Linked DNA regions of Rattus norvegicus. The main gene of each other region encodes a partner of the protein of the gene in region 2 in a complex. Links are inferred from orthologs where the notes say so. Each region holds a gene or a part of one and is shown on either strand. Other genes may lie near its edges. The genes, in order: Gmnc, Ccna2, E2f1 and Cdc6.

Evidence for each region.
Region 1: the proteins of Ccna2 (region 2) and Gmnc are in contact, whole or in part, in a cryo-EM structure (PDB 9HIU), measured with the Homo sapiens proteins. The link is inferred for Rattus norvegicus from reciprocal best matches to the Homo sapiens genes CCNA2 and GMNC. Residues at the interface, in NP_001228.2 of Homo sapiens: Met210, Ile213, Leu214, Asp216, Trp217, Glu220, Val221, Glu224, Arg250, Leu253, Gln254, Tyr280, Ile281, Thr282, Asp283, Thr285; in NP_001140158.1 of Homo sapiens: Asn165, Ala166, Lys167, Arg168, Asn169, Leu170, Ser171, Glu173, Phe174, Ala175.
Region 3: the proteins of Ccna2 (region 2) and E2f1 are in contact, whole or in part, in a crystal structure (PDB 1H24), measured with the Homo sapiens proteins. The link is inferred for Rattus norvegicus from reciprocal best matches to the Homo sapiens genes CCNA2 and E2F1. Residues at the interface, in NP_001228.2 of Homo sapiens: Met210, Ile213, Leu214, Trp217, Glu220, Val221, Glu224, Arg250, Gln254, Tyr280, Ile281, Thr282, Asp283, Thr285; in NP_005216.1 of Homo sapiens: Val88, Lys89, Arg90, Arg91, Leu92, Asp93, Leu94, Glu95.
Region 4: the proteins of Ccna2 (region 2) and Cdc6 are in contact, whole or in part, in a crystal structure (PDB 2CCH), measured with the Homo sapiens proteins. The link is inferred for Rattus norvegicus from reciprocal best matches to the Homo sapiens genes CCNA2 and CDC6. Residues at the interface, in NP_001228.2 of Homo sapiens: Met210, Ile213, Leu214, Trp217, Glu220, Val221, Glu224, Tyr225, Arg250, Leu253, Gln254, Glu277, Tyr280, Ile281, Thr282, Asp283, Thr285; in NP_001245.1 of Homo sapiens: His89, Thr90, Leu91, Lys92, Gly93, Arg94, Arg95, Leu96, Val97, Phe98, Asp99, Asn100.

Annotation. Positions count from the first base shown.
Region 1 is NC_086029.1:87,338,326-87,342,426, forward strand, and holds the start of Gmnc (geminin coiled-coil domain-containing protein 1), read left to right. Parts: upstream 1-1,291; 5' UTR 1,292-3,297; coding exon 3,298-3,300; intron 3,301-4,101. UniProt on the Homo sapiens protein: Regulator of DNA replication. Promotes initiation of chromosomal DNA replication by mediating TOPBP1- and CDK2-dependent recruitment of CDC45L onto replication origins.
Region 2 is NC_086020.1:121,358,874-121,363,143, forward strand, and holds the start of Ccna2 (cyclin-A2), read right to left. Parts: upstream 2,824-4,270; 5' UTR 2,723-2,823; coding exon 2,552-2,722; intron 1,903-2,551; coding exon 1,659-1,902; intron 739-1,658; coding exon of another isoform or gene 651-738; intron 1-650. UniProt on the Homo sapiens protein: Cyclin which controls both the G1/S and the G2/M transition phases of the cell cycle. Functions through the formation of specific serine/threonine protein kinase holoenzyme complexes with the cyclin-dependent protein kinases CDK1 or CDK2.
Region 3 is NC_086021.1:163,532,764-163,537,097, reverse strand, and holds the start of E2f1 (transcription factor E2F1), read left to right. Parts: upstream 1-1,534; 5' UTR 1,535-1,687; coding exon 1,688-1,942; intron 1,943-4,334. UniProt on the Homo sapiens protein: Transcription activator that binds DNA cooperatively with DP proteins through the E2 recognition site, 5'-TTTC[CG]CGC-3' found in the promoter region of a number of genes whose products are involved in cell cycle regulation or in DNA replication.
Region 4 is NC_086028.1:84,359,402-84,363,696, forward strand, and holds the start of Cdc6 (cell division control protein 6 homolog), read left to right. Parts: upstream 1-1,463; 5' UTR 1,464-1,636; intron 1,637-1,940; 5' UTR 1,941-1,953; coding exon 1,954-2,134; intron 2,135-3,564; coding exon 3,565-3,846; intron 3,847-3,951; coding exon 3,952-4,151; intron 4,152-4,295. UniProt on the Homo sapiens protein: Involved in the initiation of DNA replication. Also participates in checkpoint controls that ensure DNA replication is completed before mitosis is initiated.

The DNA.
Region 1 (4,101 bases), on a different chromosome or scaffold from region 2:
GCCTCCCAAGTACTAGGGTTAAGTGTGTGGACGACCACACCCACCTCCACTGTGTTTTAACTTCACCAAGAGTTTATGATCTGATTTATGATCTGATTTGCACTCAACTGAGAATAGCTCTCCAGTGTTCTTGGATTCTATATTACCATGTGCTCGCCCATGTGTACTGTGCTAAAGTAGTTGTTTCCAAAGCATTTATATTCTAAAAATACATTAAAGAATTTTAAGACTTACATCTAACCCTCAAGAAAAAAATACCCAGTTTGCACATCCAGCATGCCCTTCAGAAAATTTAGTAGACCCTGCAGAGCAATAGACATTTATACGTCTTCAAAGCCAGAAGTCTCCCTGTGAGTAATAGTAAAAATGTTACTAGTATTTAATCAGCAAATAGGAAAATTATTGAGCATTAGCAGATATGATTCATATTTGAACTCTCTTGTAGGCATTTTTCTTCTAATCCATCAAATGGATTACTAGAATCGAGAGACCTTGATATAGCAACCTACAGGTTTATTCAGGATAAGGAATCCACAAATATTTTAATGCAAAGCCAATGGCCATTTCTTTTCTTTTTATCATGCTATATTTGCTCACTTACCTGCCTTGTGTCATTCATTGCGAAGGCTTACACTTCTCACACTTCTCATCTGTAACAACTTCCCAAAGCAAGTCTACTCAGTCCTCCCGTCTCTGCCTCTGCTGCTCATTATGAAACTACCAGGCTTTGTTAAAGAGCTTAGGTGTTTGCAGGACTAATGCATGAACAACGCTTTGACTGGAACAAGACCGCTCATTCACAAGATCTAAATGAATTTGGTACTTTGTCCTTTGTACTGTCAGAGCAGAGTGGGAACTGCTTTCTCTTAGAACACATTGGAATGGGCTGGCATTGAGTGATCCAGTTCATCAATTTCCCGTGCAGTGATCTTCACGTGTAGTCTTGTTCATTAAAATTTACAAATAAATATTATCAGAGCAGGAGAAAGAATACCACTGAGTCTGACACATTCTCAACTCCCTCCTCTATACCTTTCTTGATCGTGGGGGTACTGAGCCATTTAGTCACCTCATAGTTTTTCTAAATTCTATTATAGACAGAGGAAGAGAACAAAGAAATGTTAATTTCTTCTCTAAAGAACAAAATATTTAATCTGGACTCAAACTCTGGTTCTCAGTTTCTGTGTCACGTCCATATCAGTTTGCCAGGGCTACCTAGCAGTCATGCTATAGTAGGTCAAGCCTGGCTCTCAGAGAGGTTGGAAGTGCAACATCGAGGTTTCTGCTGGGCACATGTTTTTTCCTGAGCTTTCCCTTCTTGAACCCCAAACAGATGTCTGTAAACTCTGTCCTGCTATGACATTTTGTTTGAGTGCCATCCCAGGTCCCTGGTGTGTCTACCTTCTGATAATACCACCAGGCATAAGGTCTACTCTTATGAACACATTTAAACTTTGTTCTTGAAGTAACCTTTCTCTAAATCTAGTTAACACTGGCACCAGAGCCTCAACCTATGAATTTGAAAGAAGTGCAAATTGGTATCGTAACTGTGCCAATTACGCACACATCTGTGTGTAGCGCGTTGAATGCAATGTTCTTGCGATAGGTAGAATGAAGTTTGGACGGCTTAGCCTGAAGTCCAAAACCCAAGACTGACACTCACATATTGTGCTAACAGTGTTCACTTTCTTACCCCCAGGGCTTCCCTTTTACACTGAGAGTCAACATGGCTTCTATGTTGACTGTCCACCTCTTTAGCGTTTTTCTAAATTAGCATTTATTCATTGTACAAAATATCGGGCTTCCTAATCGTGCATGTACAGAATGTACTTTGCTAATATTTACACCCATTACTCTCTCTTGTCCCTTCCACACTCTGGTCCTTACACACACACACACACACACACACACACACACACACACACACACACACACACACACATACTCATATACATGCACTTTAAATAGAGACTCTTTTCATAAAAAAGAATATACAAGGTATTTGTTATGGCTCTGGCTTATTTCACTTAGCATTATGGTATCTAAGACTAGCATTTTTTTTATACAAAGGACATAATGTCATTCTTTATAGCTAAATAAGGCTCCCTGGTTTATATATTTTCCTCATGTGTATATTATCTGTTGCTGAGCACTGTCCACTCCTTGGTTCTGTGACTTGAACAGCAACAGACAGTGTTGTGCAGATGCCTGTCAGGGTGCCTTCGAGACCTCTAGGGATATTCCCAGGCTTGTTGGAGCTGGACCCTAGTCATCCACTACTTTACGTCCATTTAAATGGTCAGCACAAGTGAGAGTTGCCTACTGGGGTTTGCCTAAAGGAGGCATTGCTTCTCTGTCATCCCTAGATTGAACATTGTAGAGATACATATAAGGATAAAATAAAAGATAGGGAAATAAAATATGCTATGAAGTATTGACAGACATTATTTTTCTTAATATTAATATTTTTTGTTTTATATAATTGTGCCGTGCATCAGCCCAACTGAGCGAAAACCACTTTAGATTCCTAACTATAAACTCTAATTCACTGTTTGAACAAATTTTATTCAGTACTTTTGCAGGCCATGGTTCATGATAGATGTCTTGGAAAATATATATTCCAGACTTTATACATTTTCCCCTTACATTTAAGCCTTGCAAGAACTGGGTTCTTGCATTAAATATGAAAAAAATAAAATAAAATCTAGTGGCTGCTATTAAGTTACCATCACTTGTTATCCTGTGACCAGGGAATGCACAGAGCGCCACTCACACCAGGGCCCCTTGGATGGGCTTTAGTGCTGTGCAGAGACCAAGGTTTGGCCTTCAGATGCCTCCGGGGGCTGGCTGGCCGCCCTGCCCGGCCCCGCCCTGCCGGCTGCTGGGCGCGTGGCGCAGAGCGAGCAGGGCAGCCAAGACCCCATCGCCGGCTGCCACCGCGCCAGGTAGACTCTGTAGACTGAGCTCACACAGGCACAGGCTTTGACCGGGCGGGCGTGCCTTGGATGCTGCCTCCGCGTCCGCAAGGAGACGCGCAGATCTCACGTCCCAGTGCGGGTGTCTCGGGAGTGGCCGTGGCTTAGGTTGGGCGGCTCCCTAGGCACGCACGTCACCTTGTTTGACAGCCTCCTACTAAATCAGAGAGCAGCGCCGGCCAGGAGCCTCGCGCGCGTCACTGGCAGCTCCGGCGGATTAGAACTCGCCTCCTTGCTCCTCCCTGCAGTCCCGTTTAAAGTTAAGGCTGGCTTTAAGAGAAAGTTGAGTGAGCCTAGTATCTTCAGCGCTTTCTTCTGCGACATGGTAAGTGAGGAGCTGGCCTTAACTGGTCTGCTGCCAGGACCTGGGGGCCCTGGAAGACAGTAAACTGCATTTCAAATATACTCCTCTTTGGGAGATGCCTTTGTACTTTCCAATTAAAATAGGCACCCCTTTTATTCTCTGTTCCCGTTCTTTGCACATTTGCCTCCCTACCCCACCCATTTGCCCTCACCCCGCACAGACTTTCTTTCCCCCCCACCTGTTCCTCCAGCTGATGCCCACATTTGCAAACACTTAGATTGGAACTGCTTAGGAGCCTTTGGGGTTTGTTTTCCTCTCGGGTGTCAATTGCATAATAGCTTAGCTCTGATTCCAATAATAACCTCCGAAAAGAGTCTACAAACATACTTTTAGAAAGAAAAAAAGAACACAGCACTTGATAAACCTTTGGCTGCATTTCTTTAGGCAACGGCTGCCCAAGCTGTACTCTAAAAGTTCACTCGCTGGGAGCAGAGCCCAAGTGTTAGTCTAGAGACTCAATGATAACTTAGTTTTATTTTCTTACTCCTCCTCTTCTTCTTCCTCCTTTCCTTCCTCCTCCTCTTCCTCACCCCTCCTCCTCTCCCTCCTTTCCTCTCCCTCCTTTCTGCTTTCTCTTCTGGTATCTTTATTTATGTTATGTCTAAGAAAGTCTTCAAGGCAGCAACAGACTGACAGTGTTCAAAAAGTTTGTTCAAACCTGTCCTCTGTTGCCACAGATGTCTTTTACCTGATTAAACATTGACACATAATTAAGAGTGGGCTGTTGGACAACTTAGGGCAGCCTGCCTGCCCTGCATGGAC
Region 2 (4,270 bases):
TGGGTAAATGGCATATATTACCAAATGTTAGTAAAGATATCAAGTCTGTCATACCATGTTCAAACAGACTAACTATAATCTGTAAGGGACTTGGTGTTTGTTAAACAGGGTCTCATTCTGTGGGCCAGACTGGCCTGAAATTCACTCCGTAACCTAGGCTGACAATCTTGCCTTAGCCTCCTGAGTGCTATTGGGCATTAATATACTCAGCTCTAGTTTTTACCATTTAAATTATCTTGAGATAGGGGAATCTGTGTAATAATAGTTTCCATACCCTCCTCCTACCCCATCAGTAGAACTAAGTGAACTGGGGGGCTGGGAAATGGCAGTGCAGTGCCTGCTGGATAAGCATGAAGATGTGCATTGCATTCCCAGCACCACTCAAGCTAGATGTTGTGGCATTGTCTGCAACCCTAGACGGGAAGAAGAAAAAGGGTTGAAATACTCAGTTCCCTGCAGTTTGATGGCCAGGCTGTCTAGCCAAATCAGTGAGCCCCAATGAGACCTTTGATTAAGAAATGATATAGAAAAGTGATTGAAGATACCCCAAAGTCAAGTACTCTCTCTAGCCTCTACATGTACCAGCACAGGCAAGCGTAATACTCCTTCCCCTGGCACACATATAGCATAAGGTAGAAAGTGACAGATACCAACATCTCTGGTCTCCACAGTGAGATCATAGCACCGGCAGAGCTGTCTATAGCAGCTATTCTGCCTTCCATGTGTCTGACCTGCAATCTGACAAACATTTAAATTAGTTTTAAAGGAATGGCAGATATAATGCTTAAAACTGTAGGCTCAAGGAGCACTCTTAGGACTGGCATGTTAAGAAGTGAATCATACATAAAACTGAAATCTATTATCTCAGCCAAACACTTATAAAGTCATATTAAGATAGGCATTTAAGATCTAATTAAAATTGATGTAGCTTTGTCCAGCAGTGCCCTCCCTGCTGGTTAAGGATTTGAGTCCTTTTATAGGTCAGTGGATCTGTGATCCTTTCTAAGCCCACTGTAGTAATCTTAACTCACTGTGTTATGAGCAGGTAAGCATAGTCTTAAAACTCAAAAATATCAACCGCAGGACTTTTGGTGACTGCAGTCGATCAGTGCTAAAGTACAGTGGTAAAATCCGTTAGTCATGGCTATGATGAACACATTTGGAGTGAAAATTTTAAAAATGCTACGTATTTTAAATATATTTGAAACGACATTTTGATTCGTAAACTGAATGTAAATAAACCTGAAATTTGCAAAATTAAAAAAAACCTCAAAAATATCACTAACCCAATTAAGTAACTAATTTTTTAGCTTAATAACAATCTTTAGAGTATGCCAAGCAAGGTACGGATGGTGCCAGGCCTGTAATCTAGAATTTGAGAGGCTGAGGCAGGACGGTTTGAGTTCAAGGTTAGTCTGAGCTACAGATTGAGATCCTGTCTCAAAAGGTAAAGGTTTGGTGTGGTAGCACATGCCTTTAATCCCAGCAATCAGGAGGCAGAGGTAGGTGGATCTCTTATTTCAAGGCCAGCCTAGTCTTATAGAGTATGAGTTTCAGGACAGTCAAGAATACTCGAGAAACTCAGAGGGGGAAAAAAAGACAGCAAGGAGGGAAGGAAAGAAGAAACAGGGACTGGTAAAAATAAAGAGTAACCTTACCAAAACTACCATCCATTGGATAATCAAGAGGTACCAGTGGTTTTCTGGCTCCGGGTAAAGAGACAGCGGCACTAAAAGCCAGGGCATCTTCACACTGAGTTTCTTTTTGCTCAGCTGGCCTCTTCTGAGTCTCTTCAGCTTCATCCACATGAATGGTGAAGGCAGGCTGTTTACTGACTGCTTTCCATGAAGGAACAGTAGGGACGTGCTCATCGTTTATAGGAAGGTCCTTAAGAGGCGCAACCTAAAGAGAAGGAATTCTTTTTTAATACTTTGCTTCTTGCCCTGTGGGTACCAACTTTTATTTCCAAATACTCTTAAGAAAAATGTAAGTTCATGAGTCAAAGTCCAGGTAAGGTGAGTAAACCGATTTGTCACAGCCATTTCTACAAAGGCTATAAATGCAACGGATTGGAATTCCAAACTAATCAAAGACTAAAGTTAGGGGAAAGAACTGATTCACAACTTTAGCCTCAGGGTGGAGCAAAACAGCAAGTCTGGCTAAAATGGCGGAATTTACCAAGCAGAATACTTGCTTTATGTCCTTCCCTTAAGTAGTAATCTGTGAAGCAGATGGTGAGGGGGAAGGGATCTATATCCTACTGCAATGCCTGGCTTTAAAAGTGGAGGGAAAGGTACATGGCCGAAGTCGACACGCGGGGCACTGCTTGGTATGACCCTAGAATTTTTAGGAAGACCGCTCCACTAGTGCTGAAGGGCAGTATACACGGGTCCGCAGGGCTCGTGGGGCTATTTGGTACTAAAAACGCCCGGACCGCAAAGGCTGCAGCCCGACTACCCCTAGAAAGCTCAGCATGCTTTTTGGCCCTCTGGGCTGGTAAACCCAAGACCGCTTCCGCCCGGCCCTCCGACAGACCCCCGCGCCCTTTTACCCGCCGAGTCTTGAGCCTCTGCTGCGGCGCCGGTCCCCGCACCTTCCCGGCCTTCAGCACCGCCTGCGCCCGCGGCTGCTGGGCTGGCGCCACTTTTTCGGGGTTGACATTCTCCTGGTCTTCCTGCTGGGAGAGCAGGGCCGAGCCCGCCTGTCTCGAGTTGCCCGGCATTGCGGCTCCGGTCCGGATCCGTCGGCGGCAGAGCGTGCAAGGCGCCCGCCGCTCCCGGGCTGCGCGGGACCCTGGCGGCCGACGCACGGAGCAGGCGCTGCGGGAGGGAGGAGCGCAGAGCCCAAGTGCCGCGAGCCGCGCGCGGCCCGCCGGCTGTTCTTGTAGTTCAAGTAGCCCGCGACTATTGAAATGGACCAATGAGGGCGGTCGGGGCCAGTGACGTCACCAGGAGCGCCGGTCGCCGCGAGCAAAGGCCCGACGGGAATCTGGCAGGGCGGGCGCCTGAGGGACGCGCCTGCGCAGAGAAGGGCGGGGCAAGCGGCAGCCTTCCGCAACTCTCCGATCCTCTGTGGGTCTGTAACCTCCCAGGATCCTACCAGAGCAGCTGGGCGGACCAGACTAGCCCTCGGGGCCTCGGAGTGTCAGCATTCCTGTCAGCTAAGGGGTGTAGCGACTTCCCCTGGTCGCTGGGTGGCGCCTAGGCAGGACTGTATGGACTCAGCTGACTAGCCGCTCCCTTACCAGCTGACTAGCTGCTCCTCTCTCTCGGTGGTGCTGCCCATTCAACACAGGGAAACTGATATTTTTACTGTTTACTACTGCTTCGCCTCTCCTGTATATATTTTTTGTTTGTTGTTTTTGAGGCAGGGTCTCCCAGTTGTCCTGCGATTCACTGACAATCCACCCGCCTCGGTCTCATGAGTTCTGTTCTAGGACTAAAGGCATGTGTCACTATGCCTGGTATTCCAGTAAACTTTTCCTCGCCTCTAATAAAGATGGGTCAATTTAAAATGCCAACTTGAGCTATTGTTGGTACCAAGTGGTGTATTACAAGAAATTCAGATGTCCATTTATTTTGTTAATCCTTGGTTGTGACATCAAATAGTACACCATGAAGTTCCAGTGACCCAAATAGATATTACATTTAAAATGAACTGCATGAGTTCAAGTTAGTTCCAAGTCAGCTATTTAGTGAGACGATGTCTCAAGAGTAGAAAAAGTGTGCATAAGAAAACGGGGCAGCCAGGAGGCGGTGGCTAAACCTTTAATGCAGGCAACTCACCAGGCGGGTGGATCTCTTGTGAGTTCAAGGCCAGCCTGGAGGGCAGAGCTAGTTCCGGGTCAGCTACACAAAGAAATCCTGTCTTGAAAATCAAACCAAACCAAACCAAACCAAACCAAACCAAACCACCCCCACCCCCCCCACACACACACACGGAGGGAAGGAGGGAGAGAGAGGGAGGGAGAGAAATACAAAACCTTACTAAAATAAAGACCCAACTATACGTGCCTTAAATGTTCGTATTTAATATTTAAGAATTGCACATAAAATATAATAAAATGTAATTATTGTTTTCTGAAAAATTCATATTTACCCTTTGAAAACAAAAGACAGCTTATTTTCTCTTATTTTTTTAGTATTTTAAAACTTTCAATGCAATATTCCCCTGAAATGAATGACTAAAACTTCTGTTGCTTTTAAGTCTTCTTTTTTCCCTCACGTGTACAATAAGAAGGAGTTTTGTGGATACTAGTAGGGGGGAATCT
Region 3 (4,334 bases), on a different chromosome or scaffold from region 2:
CTAACTCGTTCAATCCCAGACTTGGGAGGCAGAAGCAGGCATACTTAAGCGTGTTCCAGGACAGCCAGAGCCAGACAATGAGACCATGCCTCGAAAAAACAAAGAAACAAACTACCCCCCCCAAAAAAAACAAAAAAAAAGGGGGGCGGGGGCGGCCTGGGATTGATTCTAAATTGACCAAGGTTGGGTGGTTCAAAGTTAACCGATGCGTGGAAGATAAAGTAGTATGAGGTGATAGTGAAAGTACCCGGGCTTGAGAGCTCCTTGTAGCCTACACTGGACTTGGGGACTTGAATATTGTCAGCTACTCTTTTCTTTTTTTTTTTTTTTTTGGTTTTTTTTTTTTTTTTTTTTTTTTTCCGGAGCTGGGGACCGAACCCAGGGCCTTGAGCTTCCTAGGTAAGGGCTCTACCACTGAGCTAAATCCCCAGCCCCTGTCAGCTACTCTTCTTGTGGTCATCCCCACCCGCAAGGGCAGGAAGTATGTAGGTCTTGTTAAACCTTTCGTGTTTCGATTCCCAGTATTGGCAAGATGCCTGTCAGAGAGGACCACAATGCTGATCAGATGGGCTGACCTGAGCAATCAGAAATGCTGATGGAGGACCTCAGGATTAAAGGATCCCTCCATATGCACCCTCCCCACCCCTGCACCGCCCTCTGTGAGGCCTAACGTGGAGTTACTTAGTTCAATCTCTTCACATTGTAAGCATCTGCTGCCTCTCGGTTCCCTTTTTTCCTTTTCACTAAGTCAGGAGTCAAGGTCTGGGTTGAGTATGGGACAATAAACAGGCTCTCAGGCGTTTGTGATTTTTTTGAGACAGGGTCTCACTGTGTAGTCCTGAATGGCCTGAACTTGGAAAATCCGCCCGCCTCTGCCTCCCAAGTGCTGGGATTAAAGACAGGTGCCATTGTGGACTGACCAAACGAATGAACGATAACTGGGCGTTGGCTACTAAAGGAATTTCAGTAAAATGAGACTGAGATCAAAGCCACACATCCCTACTCATTTCCTGGCACCCCTCTTGGGCTTGGCTTCTGGGTGACAGGGAAGAACCCATGATGTGAACTAATGGAATAAGTGGGTCTTAAGACCGGAGATGTGGCTGAAGTGAACTTTGGAGGTGAGCCTGAGCGTGCAGAAGAAGCAGTTTCTGGACTGTAAACTGAGGGGGTGGAGACCACAGGTTGAGAGTTTAGGGGCTCATGCGGCATGTGGAGACTGCGGGACGTGCAGAACCAAGTACGAAGTTTGTTGCCTTCGCCAGACCCCGCCACCCATCGAGTGGGCGGTGAAGGGGGCGGGGTCCATTGCCCACGCCCCCTGCAGGGCACAGCGAGAGGCAGAAGGGAGAAGGCGCCCGGCACCGCCCGGACAAAGCCTGCGCGCGCCCCGCCCCGCGATTGGCCACCCCGCCCCTGGTCCCACCCTCCGTCGCCTGCCCCGCACGCTGCAACCAATGTCTGCTACCGAAGCCGACTTCGTCACAGCCACGCAGGCCAATGGAGGAGGCGTTCGGCGGCGCGTGGCTCTTTCGCGGCAAAAAGGATTTGGCGCGTAAAAGTGGCCCGGACTTTGCAGGCAGCGGCGGCCGGGGCGGAGCGGGATCGAGCCCTCGCCGCGGCCTGCCGTCATGGGCCCGCGCCGCCGCCGCCGCCTGCCTCCCGGGCCACGCGGGCCGTGAGTGCCATGGCCGTAGCCCCCGCGGGCGGCCAGCACGCGCCGGCGCTGGAGGCCCTGCTCGGGGCGGGCGCGCTGCGGCTGCTCGACTCCTCGCAGATCGTCATCATCTCCACCGCGCCCGATGTCGGCGCCCCGCAGGTCCCCACCGGCCCCGCCGCGCCGCCCGCTGGCCCTCGAGATCCTGACGTGCTGCTCTTCGCAACGCCGCAGGCGCCCCGACCCGCGCCTAGTGCACCGCGCCCGGCTCTCGGCCGCCCGCCGGTACGGACCCTAGGCGCGGGCGGGGGAGGGGCGGGCTGCAGCGCTGGGCGGTGCGGAGTCTGGGCTGGGCCTCGGGGCTCCGCCCCGGGGCGCGCGCTGACTGACTGCCTTGCCCTGTCTGTTTGCTGCGCCTTGCTCTGGGCCTCAGCGTCTTCACCAGAGCGGCAGGTTTATTAATGATAATGGCTCACGTGTATTCAGCTGGTGCTTGCTTATTGCACGCCCAGGCTTTGGCACACTTGAAGTCGGCCAAAATTCTCAACTCTGTTGTGAGCTGGGTGTTGTCACGTGCCCATCTGCCAGAGGGAGGAACTGAGGCCCAGAGACAGGGAAGTGCTTCACGCAGCTGCAGATGGTGGGGCTGGTATTTGAACTGATGGCGGCTGGCTTGCTGCAGAACCTATGGCTAGTTAGTGCGCACAGTTGCTTGATGGAGATGAAAGAGGGTGACTGTTGGAGACATCCTCGAGAGACCCTCCTTCGTGGCTCTGCCAGGTGCAGGCCTGGCCTTCCAGGCCTCTGGGGATAGGCCTCTTGATTGGGAGGCCTTCTCTGCAGGGGCGGGGTGCTGGGCCAGCTGCTGCAACCCTTCCTCTGCCTGTCCTTCCATCTGCCACCCTTCCAGCCCCTGGTTGCCATGGAACTTTATTAATCAGGCGGACAGACCCCTGAGACTCTGGAAGACTGGGTGGGCTGGGCCCCTGAGAAGGGGCCTCCAGTTCCTGGAGAGAGAAGACGTGGGAGGGAGATCCCTGGATAAAGTCTTTTCCTGATCCTAAGTAGCAAGACCAGTTTAGGCTGGGGGCCTAGAAAAGGCAGCGGAAGTGGAGAGTGGAACTTGGATCTAAGCAGGGGCCAGCTCAGCCAGTGGGCCACCAACTTTATTGTAGGGGTGGAGCAAGCAGGAGGTGTTCACAGCAGGGGGCTTGGAGCAAGCGGGAGGGGCCAGACCCAATACCGGAGTAGAAACTGTTCAACTCCTGGTGGGGGTGCGGGTGGCAGCTGGTCCCAGAGGCATCTTAGAGAAGGCCCATACCCCCTTTGGCCCAGTGCCCAGTGCTGCCTTCCTTCCGGAATCACCAAGATGCTAATAACAATAACAATAGCAACCACCATTGTTTTGAGGACGTTTTGGGTGCCAGGCTCTGTGCTAAGCACTTTACCCACTTAACCCTGTGGACAGCCTTACTTTTTCATCCTTCCATAGATGAGGAGGCTGAAGCCCACAAATGATGGAACTTCTTAATCATTCTTCTAGGGAGTGGTATTTCCTGATTGTTAAAGCCCTTTCCTCCCACTGAGGAGGCCGGCCAGTATTTGGTGGGTCAGCTGGCTTGCCTTCCCTCCACTCCACGGGCCTGTACCAGTAGGTAGAAGGTTGGGCCCTGGGCAGATATTCTACATTTGACTAAACATTGCATTCACTCAAGTTGTGGAGTTCGTGAGTCCCCATTATGTGCTAGGTGCAGAGGTACTTAAGGATCCCCTTCCCCCACGGTACTTAAGGCCCAGCAAACATTTTCTGTGGGAGAGGTTGACACCATCCTGGAGCCAAAGGCCAGGAATGCAAATCTGGATTTTGGCCTCTACTGACTTTGCTCTGGAATTTGGGGTGGGGGGGCAGTCCTTGAAATAAGCTACAGGCTTGGCTTCCACCCAGTGAGCACTTGCTGGGTGCTTCCTGTGTACCTCTCTACACCTCTGCAATTCAGACATTCTTCCTGCCCTACCTACCTTTACCTTGTCTGTGTGTGTGTGTGTGTGTGTGTGTGTGTGTGTGTGTGTGTTTATAGATCCTATCGGGGTGTATTGACTAGGGAGAAGCAGAGACAGGAGAATCCACATGTTCAAGGCCAGCCAGGGTTACCTAGAGTGAAACTGTACCTTAAAGGAAGTTGGTCTGGAGAGATGGTTTAGCCATTGAAAGCACTTGCTATTCTATATGACAACTTAAGTTTGATCACAGCCCAACACTGAGGTCACAGATGACCAACTCCAGTTTCGAGGGGTTTGATATTGTCTTCTCCTGTCCTTGGGTACCCATGTTCATATATAGTCATACGGACACAAAGTTCTTTTTAAAAAGAAAACAATTTAAAAAGCAAATTAGTTAAATAAAAATAAATTAAAACACCAACAGCCTATTTTGGTTAACTGACATCTTATAATCCAAGCAGGCAAGAATGAGGATACTGAGTCTTGAGTTCAAAGCCAGCCTGCACTACAAAGACCCTGTTTCAAAATGGTAACAGCAAGAAGCTGATGTTTCCATTATAATGTAGTACTTGTTTACTGTGGACAGTATGTAGTACCATACATTAAGTCTGTAAAAGACAGGCTTGGGGTTGGGGATTTAGCTCAGTGGTAGAGCGCTTGCCTAGCAAGCACAAGG
Region 4 (4,295 bases), on a different chromosome or scaffold from region 2:
CCCAAAAAAAAAAAAAAAAAAAAAAAAAGACTCATTAGCTCTTACCAGCTATTTGAAATAAGTTAACTGATGGTTGTCCTGTTGCTCTCCTATTCCTAGCTTTATGTCTATTTTATTTGGTATCGGAGGATAAAAGATATGTTTTATAGCTAGGTATGATGCATTCTTTTAATCCCAGCACTTGAGAAGCAGACCCAGACAGATCTCTGAGTTTGAGGCCAGCCTATTCTATGTAGTTCTAGGACAGCCAGAGCTACAAAAAAAGGGAAAAGTCTCAAAAAAAGAGAAAGCAACAAAAAACAAACAAACAACAAAATCCCATAAACTTCACCATTACCTAGATTTGGGTTCTGGTCTTTAAAAGAACCCAAGGGTTATTAACCTTAGAGCATGCAAATTACTGCTCTAATTAACATTTTTCATTAAATGCTCAGCTTGCCTCTCCAATAACTGTCTTCCCTGGCTCCGAAACCCTAGTGCTTGGCCATAAAAGATTTTCAAATTAAAGGGACATAATTTTACTCCCTACGATGTGTAGATAGATTAATGTTAAGAAGGCACTTGGAATGTATTACCTTGAAATTGTACGTTTGGTGTTGGACTTGCTTCTCACTTTTCAAGCGCAAGTCAACAAATAGTGAGATGATGTCAGTTTGCTTATATAGGTCTAGAACTTGCCCCCCCAAACCCTGGTTCAAGTCATCAGCCCCTCAGAAAACTGTGACCTTATGCATTCATTTGCTTCCTGCCATACAAGACTGCCCCCTTAAAATCTAGCTCACCAGAATAATGAAAATAGGTACATTTGGCAGAGAAGAGGAGCAAAGATAGCCCAGGAGAATGAGAACGTTAGGCAATACCAGGAACAATGATCTCCCTGTAGAAATAAAAATGCGGAAGTAGACTGCGTGGAAGCAAAAACTACACTTCCCGCCAGGCCTTGCGGCGTGGCGTGGTCGCAAGCGCGCGCCCTTCCTCCGAGGTCTCTGAAGTTAACGCCCTCCTGGACGAGTGGGTGTGACTTCGTGTTGGGCGCTGAGACCTGGGGCTGTCCCTATTGGCTGCCAACTGCCACCGGCGAAGGCGTGGTGATTAGTGACAACTAATCAGAAGCCTGGCTGGGCTTTGGCGGGAGAGGAGAACGCTGAGGTGGAGCGAATTTGGCGCGAGCTGACTTTGCAGCAGCTGTGGACCTTGTGGCCGGAGAGTCCTTGCGGTTCTGATCGAGATCAGGGGAGCGTGCACTGAGCGACACATTCCTGAAGAGTGCAAAGCTCCGTGAGGTCTGGTGCCCACAGAATTGAGGCTGGTCTGAGCAAGGCCGGTGGAGAGCGGAAATCGCCTGGGGTCTGAGGCTGGGTCAGGGAGGGCGTTGTGAGCTCTAGAAGCGGTCCGAGCATGGAGTGTTGGGAAGGAGCAGAGAGCTGCTGGGAGGAAATGGTGTAGGGTGGGGTTGAGAGCTTTGTGGAGTGCTGGCTAGTTCTGTGCAGGGGAGGACGGAGCTGCACTGCCTGGACTTGGGAGAGCCTAAATGTCTGGAACTAAACTAGTGCTAAAGACGTCTCGCATGTCTGGAGTGAAGGAACTAGAAGTATTATAGAAATTACTGGAGATAAACTTCTGGCATCGCTCAAGTGTAAGAACTTGGGTTCTGGTCCCTGGATGACCAGGATAGCCGTGGTTTTCTGTGATTATCTCTTTAAGAGAGGGCTAATAGTTTCTACCTCTGAGGTATGGTAAGACTGAAGTGTGTAATATGTGTATAACGGAATGTTACGCGTACTAGGCAGACCGATGTTACACTTTTACATAGATTTGCACCGGAGGCAGGAAATGTTAAAAATGCTATGTTAACATGACTTATGGAGTCCTGGTCCCCAGTATAAAGTAAGCTCTGTGTGTTTTTCTCTTTGCTTTTCCTGATTCTTCTTTGTATCCAGTTGTGTGGCCATCATGCCTCAAACCCGATCCCAGACACAAGCTACCATCGACTTTCCGAAAAAGAAGCAATCTAAGACCCTGAGCAAGACAAACTCCCGTGACAGTGAAGTAAAACTTAGAAACGTCCAGCCTGTACCCACCACTCCGTGTGCGGACATAAAAATTCTGCCTCTCAGTCCCCGAAAACGTTTGGGTAAGCTTTCACTCTGCGAGTGTGACTATGACTGAGCTGTCAGCCTTTCTTACCTCTGTGCGGAGATGCCTGTCCCCTAAATCCTGGGCTGTATTTGTTTCCATAATGGCTGCCAAGTGTGTACTGAACTTCACAGTTAAGTCGACAACTAACAGGGACCATTTGCTGAGGAACCTAGGTTTGATCTTCATTTCCTTGGTTCTGTCCTTTAAATTTTCCGTGAAGTTATAGTGTTGTGAGATTTGCCTGCATACTTGTGAAATTAAGAAGCAACAAAGTAAGCCAGGAGGTGGTGAGCACACTTGGAACCCCAGCACTTAGAAGGCAGAGGCAGGTGGATCTCTTGAGTTTTGGGGCCAACCTGGTCCACAGAGTAAGTTTCAGGACAGCCTGAGTTACACAGAGAACCCCTGTCTTGAGAAAGAAAAAAAAAACAATTAGATGAGATTATTAAATTTTTTTATTATTTTTGTTTTTCTTTTTTTAAAAAAATATATTTATTTCATGTATGTGGGTGCACTATTGCTGTCCTCAGACACACCAGAAGAGGGCATCAGATCCCATTTCAGATGGTCGTGACCCGCCATGTGGTTGCTGGGAATCGAACTCAGGACCTCTGGAAGAGCAGTCAGTGCTCTTAACGTCTGAGCCATCTCTCCAGCCCTGTTTTTGTTTTCAAATAGTACTTAACTATCATTTCCATTTTTTGATGTCTCTTTTTTTGTTGTTCTTGTTGTTTTGTTTTTGTGGGTTTTTGTTTGTTTGTTTGTTTTTGCTTTGTTTTTTTTGTTTTTTGTTTTGTTTTTAAAGAAATGTTCTGGGGTTGGGGATTTGGCTCAGTGGTAGAGCGCTTGCCTAGGAAGCGCAAGGCCCTGGGTTCGGTCCCCAGCTCCGAAAAAAAGAACCAAAGAAAAAAAAAAAAAAAAAGCTAACAAGTCTGCTGGACATTCAACAATGCACACAAACAGCTTCCCAGAGAGGGAAGTTCTTTACCCCGAGATGTCAGGTCCCTTGAGCCCAGGTTGACGAGTCCTATTTTAAAACAACCTTACAGTTTCACCCCACTAGAACTACCAAATGATAAGATTCAGGGGTGCCATCTGGTGGCCACATTTGCTCCTTGGTGAGAAGTTTCTTCGGTGGTTCTGACTCAGGTAGAAATTCACCTCTTGTCGGTGGTGGTGGTGGTGGTGCACACCTCCAGTCCTCCGGAGGCAGAGGCACACAGATCTTTTGTGACTGCGGGGGCATCTGGGTTACCAGGATAGCCAGGGTCTCCTGTCTCAACAGAGAAAGAAACCACCTCTTTCCGGATGTGGGAGATGTCTGTAGTTCTTTCCTGTCCTCCTATGAAGGACCACATTCTGCAGTTAGTGTTTTTGGGGGTGACAGCATTGCAGTGAGTGAGTGAGTTCTGCTCTGTGCTTCAGGTGATGACAATCTGTGCAACACTCCCCATTTATCTCCATGTTCTCCGCCCAAGCTGGGCAGGAAGGAAAACGGCCCCCCTCGCTCACATACACGGAAGGGATGCAGATTAATATTCGATGATGAGCTGGCAGTTAAGGCTTCCGCCCCAAAAGAACAAGACAGAGTTCCCCAGCACCAAATACTTTCCTCCGCTCAAAGAGGTCAAGAGAGCGAAACAAATCCTGAGCAGAAATGCCCACCAGAGAAGGAATCCGCGTGTATGCGACTGTTCAAGCAGGAAGGTGAGTCCTTATGTGGTAGCCTAGCCATCATGAACTATGCTGGTGGAGCCAAATGAAACCCGGTCACCTTTGGCTGTGTCTTAATTGACCTTTATTCCGGCACAGGCACTTGCTATCAACAGGCAAAGCTTGTCCTGAATACAGCTGTCCCGGACCGGCTGCCTGCCAGAGAACAGGAGATGGGTGTCATCAGGGATTTCCTGAAGGAGCACATCTGTGGGAAAAAAGCTGGGAGTCTCTACCTTTCTGGCGCTCCTGGAACTGGGAAAACTGCCTGTTTAAGCCGGATTCTGCAGGACTTCAAGGTATGCTAAGAATCTGAATTATGGACACTTTTGCTGAAACATTATGTGTATATTTATGTATGTTTGTGTGTGTCCCCACACATTGGCATTTTACTTGCATGTATGGTTGTGTGAGAATGTTGGGTCCCCTGGAACTAGAGTTCT